3 linked regions of the Neurospora crassa OR74A genome follow. The protein of the gene in region 1 interacts with the protein of each later gene in a pairwise test. Links are inferred from orthologs where the notes say so. Each region holds a gene or a part of one and is shown on either strand. Other genes may lie near its edges.

What was found.
Region 2: the proteins of NCU03944 (region 1) and act interact in binary tests that used the Saccharomyces cerevisiae proteins (3 or more experiments, as listed by UniProt). The link is inferred for Neurospora crassa OR74A from reciprocal best matches to the Saccharomyces cerevisiae genes AIP1 and ACT1.
Region 3: the proteins of NCU03944 (region 1) and NCU01587 interact in a two-hybrid assay, tested with the Saccharomyces cerevisiae proteins (2 studies listed by BioGRID). The link is inferred for Neurospora crassa OR74A from reciprocal best matches to the Saccharomyces cerevisiae genes AIP1 and COF1.

The regions. Positions count from the first base shown.
Region 1 is NC_026506.1:2,197,188-2,202,488, forward strand, and holds NCU03944 (WD repeat containing protein 2), read right to left. Parts: upstream 3,441-5,301; 5' UTR 3,255-3,440; coding exon 3,150-3,254; intron 3,067-3,149; coding exon 1,315-3,066; 3' UTR 998-1,314; downstream 1-997.
Region 2 is NC_026505.1:5,085,295-5,089,569, forward strand, and holds act (actin, variant), read left to right. Parts: upstream 1-1,475; 5' UTR 1,476-1,811; coding exon 1,812-1,818; intron 1,819-1,958; coding exon 1,959-1,989; intron 1,990-2,135; coding exon 2,136-2,191; intron 2,192-2,309; coding exon 2,310-2,340; intron 2,341-2,418; coding exon 2,419-3,190; intron 3,191-3,254; coding exon 3,255-3,485; 3' UTR 3,486-3,486; exon of another isoform or gene 3,487-3,555; 3' UTR 3,556-3,953; downstream 3,954-4,275. Other genes in the region: NCU04174 (hypothetical protein), read right to left, coding at 4,228-4,275. UniProt on the Saccharomyces cerevisiae protein: Actins are highly conserved proteins that are involved in various types of cell motility and are ubiquitously expressed in all eukaryotic cells.
Region 3 is NC_026502.1:3,014,940-3,019,948, forward strand, and holds NCU01587 (cofilin, variant), read left to right. Parts: upstream 1-1,790; 5' UTR 1,791-2,021; exon of another isoform or gene 2,022-2,250; 5' UTR 2,251-2,372; coding exon 2,373-2,375; intron 2,376-2,470; coding exon 2,471-2,481; intron 2,482-2,835; coding exon 2,836-3,022; intron 3,023-3,411; coding exon 3,412-3,534; intron 3,535-3,631; coding exon 3,632-3,772; 3' UTR 3,773-4,063; downstream 4,064-5,009. Other genes in the region: NCU01585 (hypothetical protein), read right to left, coding at 4,883-5,009. UniProt on the Saccharomyces cerevisiae protein: Controls reversibly actin polymerization and depolymerization in a pH-sensitive manner. It has the ability to bind G- and F-actin in a 1:1 ratio of cofilin to actin. Binding to F-actin is regulated by tropomyosin.

The sequences.
Region 1 (5,301 bases):
TCTCTAGCCTTTTCGCTCTGCAACCCAAAATGCAGCAATGTACCCGTAAAACTTCTCTTTGGGGCCAGCTGAGTTGGGGAAAATGATATTCAACATTGTGTGAGTATGTCAAGACTTTATGTTCTGTGATTTCTTGACAAAAACAGGGCAAAGACTTTCTATGTAGACGTTTGTCAAGAATGGAAATGTTTGAGATACAACAGAAGCCTGCTTTCTTGCCACTTGATTACCACCTCGATGCTCGACACTGCAGTGCAGTATTGTGCAAAAAGCTGAGATACCATGTAGGTATACGTGGGCGAATATCTAATTGCACGTTAAGAGCAAAGAAAATACCCCTTTGTTCGAGATTCAGAAGCAGACAGTTCCAAATTTTCATCAATCCGGTGTCGCAGAGAACGGCAACAATCGAGGCTCATCCACCAACTGTCAGTCTTCTAGCACTAGAGAATTCGCAGTCAACTGACGTTGATAGTTCCGTCCCCGGCCGTTTCAACTACCTATTCTAAACTGCCTGGTTGCACATCGATTTTACGTTTTGCCAAAAATCTGCCTGCTGAATGACAACCTGCAGCAAATGCACGTACAGTTCTCTGAAGCCCTGAACCCTTGATCGAATTATCGGTACGGCACAATCTCTACTTTGGCGTGCGCAAAGCAGATTATTTGAAGATATGACGAGACGTCTGAGTTTGCCATTGCATCTCCACCTCGATGCGCTCTGTCACTTCAAGGACAGTATCTTCATTTTCGAAGGGATGGAATGTCCCTCGGCCATCCGCATACTTGTTTCTCACCAAGATATATCCAGAACACAAGTTGATCGAAAAAAAAAAAAAAAGAAGAAGAAAATATTAATAAATAAAAAATAAGAAAAGAAAAAGAGGACATACAACACCTGGGATTCGCTGGTCGTCACCGACCCAGCTACTAGTCAGGCGATTGGTAGTTTATCTACGGGAGAGCGGACGGGATCCCGAGTTTTTTACCATCTATGGTCGTATGTGATGATACTGCTTTGGAGTGGGCATTATGAAGCACAAAGAAAACACTATTAGTAGAGAGTTTTGAGTTTGAAATCGTTCGCCATCCACGGAGACCCCTATCCACGAGAGGTTATCATCATACGAATAGCTACAGCCATGCCATGTAAGCACATATCTCTAATTTCATTGCCATTAAACTTGCTCGCCTGCTCAAATCCATCAGTCATAACCAAGGCAGTCCTTTATGTCAAAGGGTCAAGCATAGTTTGGTTGCCTTGACAATCCCCTCCATATCTCGTCGGTCAGTCCCCATACCTGCGCCAGCGCCTCATGGCAACCCCGAAACCTTCCAGACCTTAACCGCCCCATCCACACCCGTGCTAACCACTGTACCTTCCTCCATCCACGCCACCCCGTTCACGCCGTCCTTGTGCGCGTTTGGCGCGCTCGTCCTGCTCCCTGGCTTCGCCAAGCTCCAAACACAAACATTCGTGTCTAGGCCGCCGCTGACGGCGTGCGTGCCGGCCTCGTTCCACGCGATGCTTAGCACGCGCGCCGTGTGGGCCGACCACCGGTCGGTTTCCACTTCCCACGAGCCAGAGCCGCTGGTGCGGTAAACGACGATCTTGCCCGTCGAGTTGCCGGCCGCCAGGAACTTGCCGTCGCGAGAGAATGACAGGGTGGAGATTTGGGCGGAGGAGTTGGTAAGAACGGCGACGGGCTGGGAGGAGAGAGTGCCGTCAGAGCTGGAGAGTGAGTGGATGCGGACTGTGTTGCCGTCGCCGCCTACGGCAATCACAGAGCCGTCCGTGGGGGAGGCGGCGATGGCAGTGGAGGTGAAGGTGGTCGGGAGCTCGGAGATGAAGTCGGGGCCCTGGTAGACTTGGATGCCGGTGTGGGCGGCCACGACGACGAACTTGCCGTCGCTGGTGGTGGCGATGCCCTTGGGCTGGGCGGAAAGCTTGGTGGATAAGCCGGTGAAGGTGTTGGCAGACACGTCGACGGAGCGCAGAGTGTCGTCCCAGCCGACGCTGTAGACGGTGCCGCCTGAGGGGGAGAGGGCGAACTGGGTCACTTGGTTGGAGTGCGACTGGCCGTCGACAACGGTTCCCGTGCCCGCCGCGAGGTCCCAGCTCAGGACGCGGCCCTCAAAGCTACCCGTCAGAAGAGCCTGACCGTCGGGGCTGGCGCCAAGGGCGGTGATGTTCTTATTGTGGCCTTGAACAACGCGGATCGGTTTGGGATTGCCCGGAACCAGGTAGCTGAGGTCCCCATTGAGATTGAGGCTGATAATCAGCCCGTCGGTACGGCCATGCGGCCAGACTACGCCAACTTGCTGGTCCGGGATGCTGACGCTGCCCTCAGGCCCGAATCGCCAGGTTTCGGTGTTCTTGCCCGACTCGGCATCCCATACGCGAACAGTTTGGTCGGCGCTGGAGGTGACGAAATGCTTCGAGTCGGAAGCCCAGCTGATGCCATAGATACCGCCCGTGTGGACACCCTCGCCGATCGTCTTGGTTGGTGCGCCCGTCTTTCCATCGTACAGCTGGATCTTCCTGTCGGCACCGACCGTGACCAATGTTGCACCGTCTGGGCTGAATGCCGTGCCGGTAACGAATCCCTTGTGCTCCGACGCCTTATCGGCGAACTTGAAGGGTGCGCCGTGGAGGAAACACATGGACCCATCGTCCGACACCGTAGCTGCACGCAATGGCCGCTGCTGCCTTATGCTGACGGCATTGACAACCTTGCTGTGGCCCGTGACCTCACCAACACTGTTGCCGCTGTCAGCGGTGAAAGCATGGCCAAATCGCTCGCGGCCATCACCAACGGCAATCACACGCTGCGAGTCGCCGTCCCAGGCAATATCGTTAATGCGGCCGGAAATGATAGAGTATTCGCCCTTGGTGTTCTCAGCACCGACAGCGTCCCAGACGCGCACCTTGCCCGAGACATCACCAGAAGCAACCCAGAAGCCTGATGGCGAGAAGCGGGCAACGGTGGTAGTGGTTGTATGGCCAGTATACTGGAGGGACTTGGATGGCTCGTCGATGGTGCGAACGAAGATGGATTTGCCGGACTGCGGGGTTTCAAGGATGTGTCTTGGTAAGCTCGAATGTACTTTGGCTGGCGATGGTATTGCTGGCGGTGAAGAAGACTTACAGCGTAGACTATGCGCTCGCCCTTGGGATCGCAAGAGAGCTGGGTGGCCTGACCGCGGGTCGTGGCGGGCGCAGCGGCCAAGATCTTGTCGATTTCGATGGGCATATCGTTCTCCTTGACTCTTTTGTCTGTTGCTTCGTAGATAGCTTGGGGACGCGAGAGTAAGTGATCGGCGAGTTGGCGTTTGTTTATTATACACAGTAGGGGGCTAAGGTATCAACCCAGCTGGGGGGAGCTCGTAACAAGGGGGAGCTGTTCCAAGGTGTCAGATCGGTGTCAGCTAGATGGAGCCCATTGGAGCCTGGACGATGATGCAGTGGGACGCGCGGCGGAGAACCTACCTACAGAGGTACATGGACAGTGGGGTTGGCGTTGCGGGGTAGCGTTGCCGCCAAAGCAGCAGTACACTGCAGCGAGCAAGCAGGAACAGAATGGACAGTCGGGTGCCTGGCGTCGGGTTCCCGTCGGTCTGAATAGATCATGTCTCTGGCTGGAGGATGACGACTAGAATCATACTCAGTCCCATCCTTATACATATTGTTCAGATATAATCATTAGCTGACAAAACACATTGTTTTGTACGCCATGTCCGTGTAGTCACTTTACATACCTGCTTTAAAGTGCGGGCTCGATCTTGGCTTCGCCAAATAAGGTTGTATTGCGCCAAGGCTAACACCCACGAGTAGAAAAAAGGGGTGTTTGTTGACAAGCGTCGCTATAGAAACACACTTTCTTCCAACAGTTGTCTACATACTTTAAAAGACCACGGGTTTTTCCGGTGTCTCGACAGCTCATAGCATCGTCTCGTCAAGTGACTCTCCTGAATAATGACGTTCCTTACCATCGACCAGAGTTTGGGTCACCTTAAGATCTGAATACTTGCAGTTTCATATCATAGACGCTGGATGGGTTCGCTAGGTAATGACTCGATGGCCTGAAGATGGCATCTTCCCACAGGACAACGATGGAAAAGATCTACGTAGTATACTAACATCTAGACAGGAGGGAAAAAAGCAAAAAGAGAATGAGATGTTGACATTGCCAGATTCAGTTTGCTATAAAGAAAATCCAAATCCCACGGCAAAGAAGACCAGGACTAACTACTCTTCATGCTTTGCTGGATGGCCCTGGCAGCAATTGCAAAATGTTCAAAAAAAGATGGTTGTGACTCGGATACCGGGAGTCGAACCCGGGGCTGTTGAGAGAGCAGTCACTCCTAAGTAGTGAGAGTCAACGATGTTACCGCTACACCATACCCGATTTGGAATGGTTTCCGATTTTTATCGATGACCTCACAAGATTGACACACTATATAGGCCAGACTGCTGGCTCCAACGTCTATCATGTTCAAGCAACACTCCTTTTTGTCTTGGAAAACCATACACCCTGGCGCATGGGGTCAGAAGGTAGCTCAAGCCCTGGCAAGTATGGACCACCGTCAACGTTGAGACTCGCACACCGTTAGTGATTTAGTCCTGCCCGGCATCTTCACGACATGAAATACCACTCTCGAGGGGCCGGAAGTCACGTTGAAGGAGACGCTCGGTTAAAACTATTTCCAGTAGGATCTCAAGGTGGATTGTTTACGATTCAGAATCTCTTTACCTTACGAATCGCAGAACTCCATGATTCCGGAGAAGGTGTTGCGTAAGGGTATGGAAACTACAGTAAGCCATCGTCTTTCCAGATATGTGGTCAAGTTGCTTTGGCGACAGCTATCAGCCTTCCGGTGCGCAGGCATGCAAAGGGACCGAACATCTGATTTTCATTGAAAAAGAACCGCCATTCAACGGGGAACAGAAGAGCTTGATCCAGCATGTCAATCTGCCGGAGGAGAAGTTTGGAAGAAGAGGATAAGGGACAAAAAGCTCAACCGCCCAAGTCAAAGTCCGAACTGACCAGCTGCCGGCTTTGAGAATTGTACCACCAGCACCGCGCACCGGGCACTGGTTTTCTAGCCCATCGACGGCTTGACCACGGAGAGAACCTGCTTAAACCCTCTGAATCCCAATTGTATGTACCCCGAGGGGGATTCGAATTGACTGGTCATATTTGCCAGCCGCACCAGCTCCAGTTAACCCCGTTGAGTCTTAGGATATGTTCGCTCTATATCTAAGATAGCGCCGGCCATCTTGCCAGAGGCGTTCCGAAG
Region 2 (4,275 bases), on another chromosome or scaffold:
TGTTTGGAATGCAGAGTTCCCGGATACCTAATGGGGCATACGTCAGCTACAAACTTGGTCCAACGTGAGCAGCGAAACACAAAAAAATCCAATTCCAGGCTGTGAAGGTTGTGTGGATGGTGGGATGAAGCAGACGCCAATAAGTGGGTGGTGGTGGTTGTGGTGGTGGTGTTGGACTGTGGCAATACCTCGTTCTCATCCCCAATGAGATGGCGTTTCCTTGGAAATGACACCGCTGCTGGAGGTCCCCGTACCGTATGGACCCAAGTGGTGCATACCGTAGGCTACATATCTATCTCCGTCGGATCCCGGACCGGGGCGGCCATGGAGCCTTCAAGACACTCGGGCCCCGGGGCCATGGGAATTGCGATCCGGACAAGCTCCAAGAGATCGTGATCAGCCAGGCTCCAACAGAAGAGACGGTAAAGAAGACATTGGATCTTCTGGAATTGCAATCGCGGTTCTCCAGGAGGAGTAATAAACAAGTAATGAACGGGGTACGACAAGGGACAGCGACCAGGTACGACGGCAACGACGCAGGGGAGGGACATTAGGTTGAAGAAGACTGAACGCTGACACAACGTCGGGGGCGGACCCAGCCACGCACCACGCTCCCACCGTGCTCACTAGGTACTACCTACGCTACGTACAACTGAACCGTCTGTCTAGCTGCACCCGTCGAACGGCACGCAGCGGTGACGACCCCGGCCGTGCTGCGATATGATATCCTTTTACATAGTATACAAGTCAGGTCGTGTAGGTATCCAATGTAGTTAGGTAGACTGAAATCAAAGGGGATCTTGAACGGGCTGCCAGTTGCCAGACGGGCATTGATGTCAACCTAGACGTCGCCTCCGAGGTGCGGAAGCCTCCCAAAGTGTGTTGGCGGCAGGAAGATCCCCTTTGCCCTCCCAAAATTAGGCGGTGTCTCCTACCCACTTTCCAGACGGATCGCAGGCCACTCAGGAATCCACCTTGAGCCACCTCGAATCAGGCATGATACTGCGACTTGACAACTTGTCCACGAAGATGCCAGAGGGCAAGGGGGCGGTGCGGCCAGTGATTTGATGATTTAGAGTAGGGGTGTGGAAAGCGAACAGCGAGGGAGAGGGGACGGCCTGGGAAGAAGGCAGCGCAGTTACCTCTAGGTTTGTACTTGTAGTCTACTGTGGTGATCCATCCCGTCGTGAACCGGGCAACATGGAGTGCAGGCAGCGCAGCAGCCCGGCGAGGATGAAATGAATGCTTGTTGGGACCTGGAAGTCGGCCGGGCACTCACTGTCAGTACCACTCAGTGACATCGGTGTCGTCCTTGCCCGCCTTTCCTTCCTCCTCCTCCTCCTCCTCCGCCGCCAAGTCCCACAACCACGCCGTGAGGTGACCAGGCCCAGTCCAACCAACTGGACCTAGCAGCCAGCAATGCCCAGTGCAGACAGTCCCGGCCCAGTCCCGTCCCCAATGGAATCAACCGTCCCCTCCCCTCCCCCCCCCAGTCCGCCATCCGTTCCCTCGCACCTGGCACCACAGCAATCCCATCCCCTTACCTCCCCTACCTTTACCCCCCTCAATCCACCCGCCGCCTCGTACTCCCAAAGCTGACCTTAAATTCACCTCCCCTTTTCCAACTCTTCCGCCTACCGAACAACATCCAAATTTTTGCCCAAACAACGTCTCTACGTCCTTCGGCAACACCTCTCTCAGCCAAAGCATCATCGCTCCATCGATCCGGGAATCGTCGAGCGTATTTAATAACTCTTCTTCTGTACCTTTTGCTTAATCCGACACTTTTCGTCACCACCTAATCTATCACAATGGAGGGTACGTAACAACATGTCCACATTCCTGCCCAGTCTGCCCGCGCTGGCGAGCTGGTCGCCGGCGGATCGGACTTCTACCATCGCCATCTCCCTCTACTGGTTATCATGGGCACAAGCTGATTCATGCGTTCCCGCCAACAGAAGAAGTTGCCGCCCTCGTCATCGACAATGGGTAAGCTTTCCCCTCCTTTTCGCCTGCGCCTCACCGACTCCTAGGAGAAGCGTCATATTCCTCCCGCAATCGACGCCTCGCGGCCCCCCCATAGCCCGTTCTACATGGTGAACAATGACGATGGACAGTAGCTAACAACCGCCCAGTTCGGGTATGTGCAAGGCCGGTTTCGCCGGTGATGACGCCCCCAGAGCTGTTTTCCGTAAGTGTTCCCACTATTCCCGCGAGGTGCTCTTGCTTGAGACGGGCAACGTGTCAGCAGAGCTACTTGCCTCCCCGCCAAGACCCAACGTCCCAGCCATGCTAACATGTCGCGATAGCTTCCATCGTCGGTCGTCCCCGTCATCATGGGTATGCATGCCACTTTCCCCCCCGCGTCCCGTGCGCGCAACACTCCAAGACTTTCAGAAAAAACTGACAACATGCCAGTATCATGATCGGTATGGGCCAGAAGGACTCGTATGTCGGTGATGAGGCTCAGTCCAAGCGTGGTATCCTTACTCTCAGGTACCCCATCGAGCACGGTGTCGTTACCAACTGGGACGACATGGAGAAGATTTGGCATCACACCTTCTACAACGAGCTCCGTGTCGCCCCCGAGGAGCACCCCGTCCTTCTTACCGAGGCTCCCATCAACCCCAAGTCCAACCGTGAGAAGATGACACAGATCGTTTTCGAGACTTTCAACGCCCCCGCCTTCTACGTCTCCATCCAGGCCGTCCTTTCTCTCTACGCCTCCGGTCGTACCACCGGTATCGTCCTCGACTCCGGTGACGGTGTCACTCACGTCGTCCCCATCTACGAGGGTTTCGCCCTTCCCCACGCCATTGCCCGTGTTGACATGGCTGGCCGTGATCTTACCGACTACCTCATGAAGATTCTCGCTGAGCGTGGTTACACCTTCTCCACCACCGCCGAGCGCGAAATCGTTCGTGACATCAAGGAGAAGCTCTGCTACGTCGCTCTCGACTTCGAGCAGGAGATTCAGACCGCTGCCCAGAGCTCTTCTCTCGAGAAGTCCTACGAGCTTCCCGACGGTCAGGTCATCACCATCGGCAACGAGCGTTTCCGTGCCCCTGAGGCTCTCTTCCAGCCTTCCGTCCTTGGTCTCGAATCTGGCGGCATCCACGTCACCACTTTCAACTCCATCATGAAGTGCGATGTCGACGTCAGGAAGGATCTCTATGGCAACATTGTCATGGTAAGTCCCCGTTCGCTGTGGAGATGGCAGTATAGGCTAGGTCCGCTAACAGAATCGTCACTAGTCTGGTGGTACCACCATGTACCCTGGTCTCTCCGACCGTATGCAGAAGGAGATCACTGCTCTTGCTCCTTCTTCCATGAAGGTCAAGATCATTGCTCCTCCCGAGCGCAAGTACTCCGTCTGGATCGGTGGTTCCATTCTCGCCTCGCTCTCGACCTTCCAGCAGATGTGGATCTCCAAGCAGGAGTACGACGAGAGCGGTCCCTCGATCGTGCACCGCAAGTGCTTCTAAAGTGGGTGCCCTTGAGAGGTGGTTGTTGCAGTTGGAAGCGGAGCGTCGTCGGCTTACACCATGTATGTAGTTCAATAAATGGACAAATCCACGACTGTCACGAGCCAGCGCCAACTGGGGACATAACACCCCTATCTGCGTCAAGTAGCATGTCTGCATTGCGCGTGTATTCTGCACAGGTCTCTCTTATACAAAAAGTAGCGAGCGTGGTCAGAAGGGGGCTGGCGTCTCTTTTCTCTACTAGAAGACATAAATAATGGCCTTTTTTTTCTGTTTTCTGGGTGGGCGGCGACGGCTGCGAATGCGTGGGATAGGCGCGGTCAAGTATGCGGGCTTCTTGATCTTGCCAACACCCTTTCTCTATTTACTACACTTTTAGCAGCAAGATTTAGTCACCACTGGGAAATTCGAGGTTATCGTGGATGAAGAGATCATCAAAATTCAAACAGCGTTCTGTATTTCTGAGCACCTTCAGCTGCCCTTTCGTTGGTCGTGAGATACGTGCAAGCCAAGGAGAAAAGGGGAATTGCTAGCCGTCAAGGTATCGGATCCACCGTAATGTCTTATTGACTTGAAGGGGAGGCGGCCATACCTACCGAATCCAACTAAGCGATCCTCACCGCTTCAGGAACCGAGTAACAAGCAGCCGTTTCCTTATGATCAAACATGGCCAGGATTGCAAACCAGTGGCAGAAACCACAGATGGCTTTTCGCTGACACAATGGGTAGGTATTCTTACTGTCTAGTGTCTACCGCCATCCGCATTGTTTCCTCCGCGCTTCTCAGCCTT
Region 3 (5,009 bases), on another chromosome or scaffold:
CAAGGAAATTACAAACTACAACTGTGAATCACACGGTCAGGAGATGAAAAATGTGTCTTTTTCTTTATTTTTACCTTTGATTTATGGCGACAACATGGGTTTGGGGGGCATCGGGCTTGGTGTTATCACGGACTGTAAAAAAAATGTGTGTCATGTAACTTTCTCTCCTCTCTACCTTTTCTCTTCGTGTGTTCTTACTAGCATATTCCGGCGGGCATTGTTTGGATGATGATGATGCTCCTTGTACTATAATCTACGGACCACAGAGGAGGGTTAGAGTAGAGCAAATCATGAGAATGAATGAAACTGTACAATACTGCTACTGATGTCTCCTTGAATAATCCGAAAGCTGTGCAACCATAGTTTTGGAGGTGCGTACCATTTCTTGGAATATTACGCATTCACCTTTAGGCAGCTGTTGATAGTGTTCAGCGAAGCTGATGTATTACTAGGAAGGCATATCTTTTGATACTCAATTGTCTGGCATGCGGACATTTGCTGATATTGAAGCCTAAAAGTCCGTGAGAAGCTTGCGTTGCCATGGTGGCTGTGAGATATCAAGATGGGTTGGTTGTCAGAACTTGGAAACGCATTTGTGAATTGGATGAACGTCGATGTGATGGGAGCTTGGGCCAATCATTTGTTTGGTGGTGCCCGGTTGACAGAGGTTGACGAATTCAAGGTAATGTGGAACAGAAATTGCATGGTGCAACACTGAAACGGCGCCAAGTAAACATGTTTTAAGTGTAGTGGGACTCTTTTACCAGGTGGCAGTCTCCCCGTCGCTGCAGAGGCTCAGAGCTGTCAACTCGGTGTGCAAGCCACATGGCCAACCGTCTGCTTTCGTTTCGCAGACGACAACGAACTCCCGTCGACATGGAGACAGCACTCAGCTTCAGGGCAGTTAGGCTGTTGACGACGGAGCTGACTGTCGACGGAACAACAAGCAACCCCACCATCTCATAAGGATTCCTTCCAGGCGGTGGCCCCTCCCCCCTTCATCGACATCCACCTCAACCTCTTCATCCAGCCTCCATCCAGCCTCCATCCAGTTTCATTACCTCTACCGTTTTCACTTCTGTAATTTCGAGATCCAACAGGTAACTGCCCACTGTTGCCTGGCGGCTACAAATCCTTTCGATTACCGAGAATGATAAACGCGCGTTGAGGGAGGTGACTGTCGAGAGCCAGTGTACATAAAAGACGACGTACTCATTTCCCTGGTGGTGAAACGTAATCTCATCGAGAGCTTCCCGTGTTGTTCGTCGTTCACGCCGGCCAACCCCTGCTCTGTTCGGTATCATCAGTTCATCACAGCTTTTGCGGGCTCGTGAAAGACGCAAATCACCTCGCTGTGACAGAAGAGCCAAGTTTACTATATGGCTGATGAACGCACAATGGCAGCCCTCCCTTTCACTCTCTATGGATGGTAGGTAAGCAGGCATTGGAACTACACTACTAGGTATCACGCCGGCGTCGTTCACTTTGAGGGTACGTACCACTGGTATCGACGTCGAGCGGGATCCACTCTGCACCGTCCCTCTCCGTCCGCCTGTTGGGAGCCCACACCCAAAGTGACGGACGGGACGGAGGAGTCCACAATGCTGTTCACTGGCCAGCAGCTGCCCTGCTTTGCGAAGGGGGGGACTGGGGCTGATGTTGGAGCTGTGGTGTTGTGTTGGAGCAGATTAGAGGGTCAGATTGGCAGTGAGGTGCCCATCCACTGCCCAGTGGCCGGTGCTTAGAATAGAGGTGGTTGTGTGGTCAACGAATGGTGGCATCCGTCGGCGCCCTGGCCTCTCTCTGCCTGGCCGAGTGCTGGCTGACGGTGCCCGGGAATGGAACCCCTCGCTCCTTTCGCGTCAGGCTCCCAACCTTCAAGTTCAGGTCTCTTCCCAAGAGCTCTCTTCCCGGTCTCCGTCCCCCGTCCCCGTCCTTGCTTCCTCGTGTTGACAACTCCCGGCTCTCTACCTTTTACATACAACGGAACCATCCCATCATAGCACTCTTTCTACCTAATTGTACGTACGTATATTCGCCAGCGAGGTTTTAGCTTGACCGAGTTGTAGCCTTGCCGCCGTGTGCTCCAGTTTACAGTTCCAGTCCCCTTGCCGCCGCCTTTTCCAGTTCGAGTTCCATTTCCATGTTGCTACCCCTCGCCTCGCTCCGCCCCCCGACTGCCTTTTCTACTGTCCGTCCCTGTTGTGCTGACCCGACCCGACTGACTGACAACCTTCCCGCGCCATCCAGCTTTCGGCTCCCCTCTCCACATATAACGCTCGCCCCCCCCATTCTCGCGATCGGTTCACCCATCGTCGTCGACTTTTTGACAAGAACACTTTCACAAAACCACCACATCACAACTTGACATCATGGTAAATCATTCTCTCCTGCCCCCCCTTTCCTAACGCGCGCCGCCCCCCGCACCTTGCTTGTGAAACATGTCGCTGACTCCTTTGCCTTGTCGCAGTCTCAATCTGGGTTAGTCCTCCATGAACTTGCTACATCTTACCCCCCTCCCCGCCATTTTGCTTGCCTGCCCCTGGATCATCCTCACCGATGGATTCAGGAACCGCAATAACTTGACGCTACCCTATCGCCGCCTTGCCCGCCCGTTGCCCGTCCGTAGCCGCGATGCAACCAGCCCATTATCTCGAGATCCCTCCATCCTATATCACGCAGCAGCGACAGAGTAGCATCTGGCGGCCGGTAGCTAGCGCGCTGGGACATGGGGAGCGGGACCCGCAAAAGACAGCAACAACAACAGCATCGACAACACGCAATACATGGAAGAACTCAGAATAGCTAACGTACTCTGCTTGCGTCACTCTACAGAGTTCAGGTCGACCCCGAGTGCCGGAGGGCTTTCGACAAGCTGATGTCCCGTCAGCTCAGGTACATCATCTACAAGCTTTCGGACGACTTCAAGGAGATTGTCATTGAGAGCACCAGCGAGGGCGCCACCGAGAACTACGACGAGTTCCGCGAGAAGCTCGTCAACGCCCAGACTAAGAGCGCTTCTGTAGGTCCTTTCTTTCCCTAGAGACTGGTTGCTGCCAGTGTCGCAACCAACTCCCAGCCCAATCCAGCCCAGAATGCGAAAGAGAACTTTACGGACCCCCGATATCACCATCACCTCCTCCCCGCCCATCCTCACTCTTATAGTCCCTTTCTATTGCGGGCGAATACTTGTCTTGTTTATTCTCCTACCTGGAAGGGGAAAAAAGGGGGGGAGGACGGGAGGAGGGGTCTTGGAATTGAGGGGTTCTTTCACAAAAAGGCGGTTAGACACAGGGGACTGCCAAGACATGTCAACCCCCTGTCGTGGCATGTTCTGTGGACTTGATCGAACGGAGGAACATGATTATCTTCGGGAGAGCGCCGATCGCTAATGAATCACAACCGTTACAGGGCGCCATCAGCAAGGGTCCCCGATATGCCGTCTACGATTTCGAGTACAAGCTTGCGTCTGGCGAGGGTTCCCGCAACAAGGTGACCTTTATCGCCTGGTCCCCCGATGATGCTGGCATCAAGGTGCGTTCCCTTTTTTGTTTGCTCCCGACTCTTTTTCAAATATATATATCCCGAAGCGAACAAGTCGAACTAACTGACTCTCCCCAAAATAAAACAGTCCAAGATGGTCTACGCCTCTTCCAAGGAGGCCCTCAAGCGCTCTCTCAGCGGTATCGCTGTCGAGCTCCAGGCCAACGAGCAGGACGACATCGAGTACGAACAGATTATCAAGACCGTGAGCAAGGGTACTGCCGCATAGATTTCTCCATAATCGTATTAAGAACAGAGAGAGAAGAGAAGAGAAGAGAGATGAGTTGTTGTTGTTGATGTTGTTGCGCGTTGCGAACATAGTCGAAAGATGGTGTCCCTTATGTTGCTGTCGCTGTCGGCGTTGTTGTAATGACAATATAAACCACACGCTACTTATTTTGTACTTGCCAAATACCATTTACCACATCCAGACTACCACCACCTCTCCTCCACTTACTCAACTCAATTTTTCATATTACTATCCGCTTTGGTTTGGAAATTTCAGATATTCTATTCTGTTTACACTTGCGAGGAGTTCATTTTTCAATGTCGATGTCAGGTACGCTATCAAGGTAAAGTCTATGCATGAGAAAAGGGATACCCAACTTACGGTTCCCGGTCTAGCTCTGCAACATTGTCGACAGCATTCTTCGTTTGTGTTGTTGCACCTTAGGAGAGCCCGCCCACGTCAGAGTGAAAAACGTGTTCCTCCCCGTATATTCTATCGCGGATAGACCGATCGATCTACTATGTATGCTTAGCAGATCTGAAGACAGGGTGAGACCTCGTCAACATGTTGATCTGTACATACCCATATATGTGTCCACTACATCGCCATAACCACCAATGTTTGCAAAGTAGAAGATGTACTTTGTAGCTGTTCATGCCCCAGGAGCGCACATCGGTTGGCTCTTGTAAGAAACTTTAGCTCTCTTCAGTTACAGTGGATAGCCTTATTGCTTGAACATCGGATTAGTCACCTCACTCATTACCCACTTCATCATGTTATCACAATTATCACTTCAATTTCCACTCACATCTTGACCACCTCTCCTTCATCACTTCACGGCCCTTCAAAACACTCCTTTCATCAGTGTCGGTAAAAGAGTAATTATTTGCTAGTAATCCTAACCAATCCTCGACAGCAATTCAACAATTCACTTTACAGCGTCCTACCTCACCAGCACTCCTAGGACATCCTTCGAGCCATTCATCACTCCTCTTGAATTATCCACGGCTTCTCGTCATTTCACGTCTCTTCTCCCTCGAACTTATTAATACTGATGCCGTGGCAGACTGACTGTAACCAACCCAAAGGATCTACTACTACAACTACTACTTACTTCCCACTCCAAGCCCCCCTAAACCTACCGACCACCTCCTCCGCCGTCTTCTCGTCCCTTATCCGTTGCTGCAAATACCCCTTCAGATCCTCCCAGAACTCTTCCGTCTCCAGCACCGCCGGA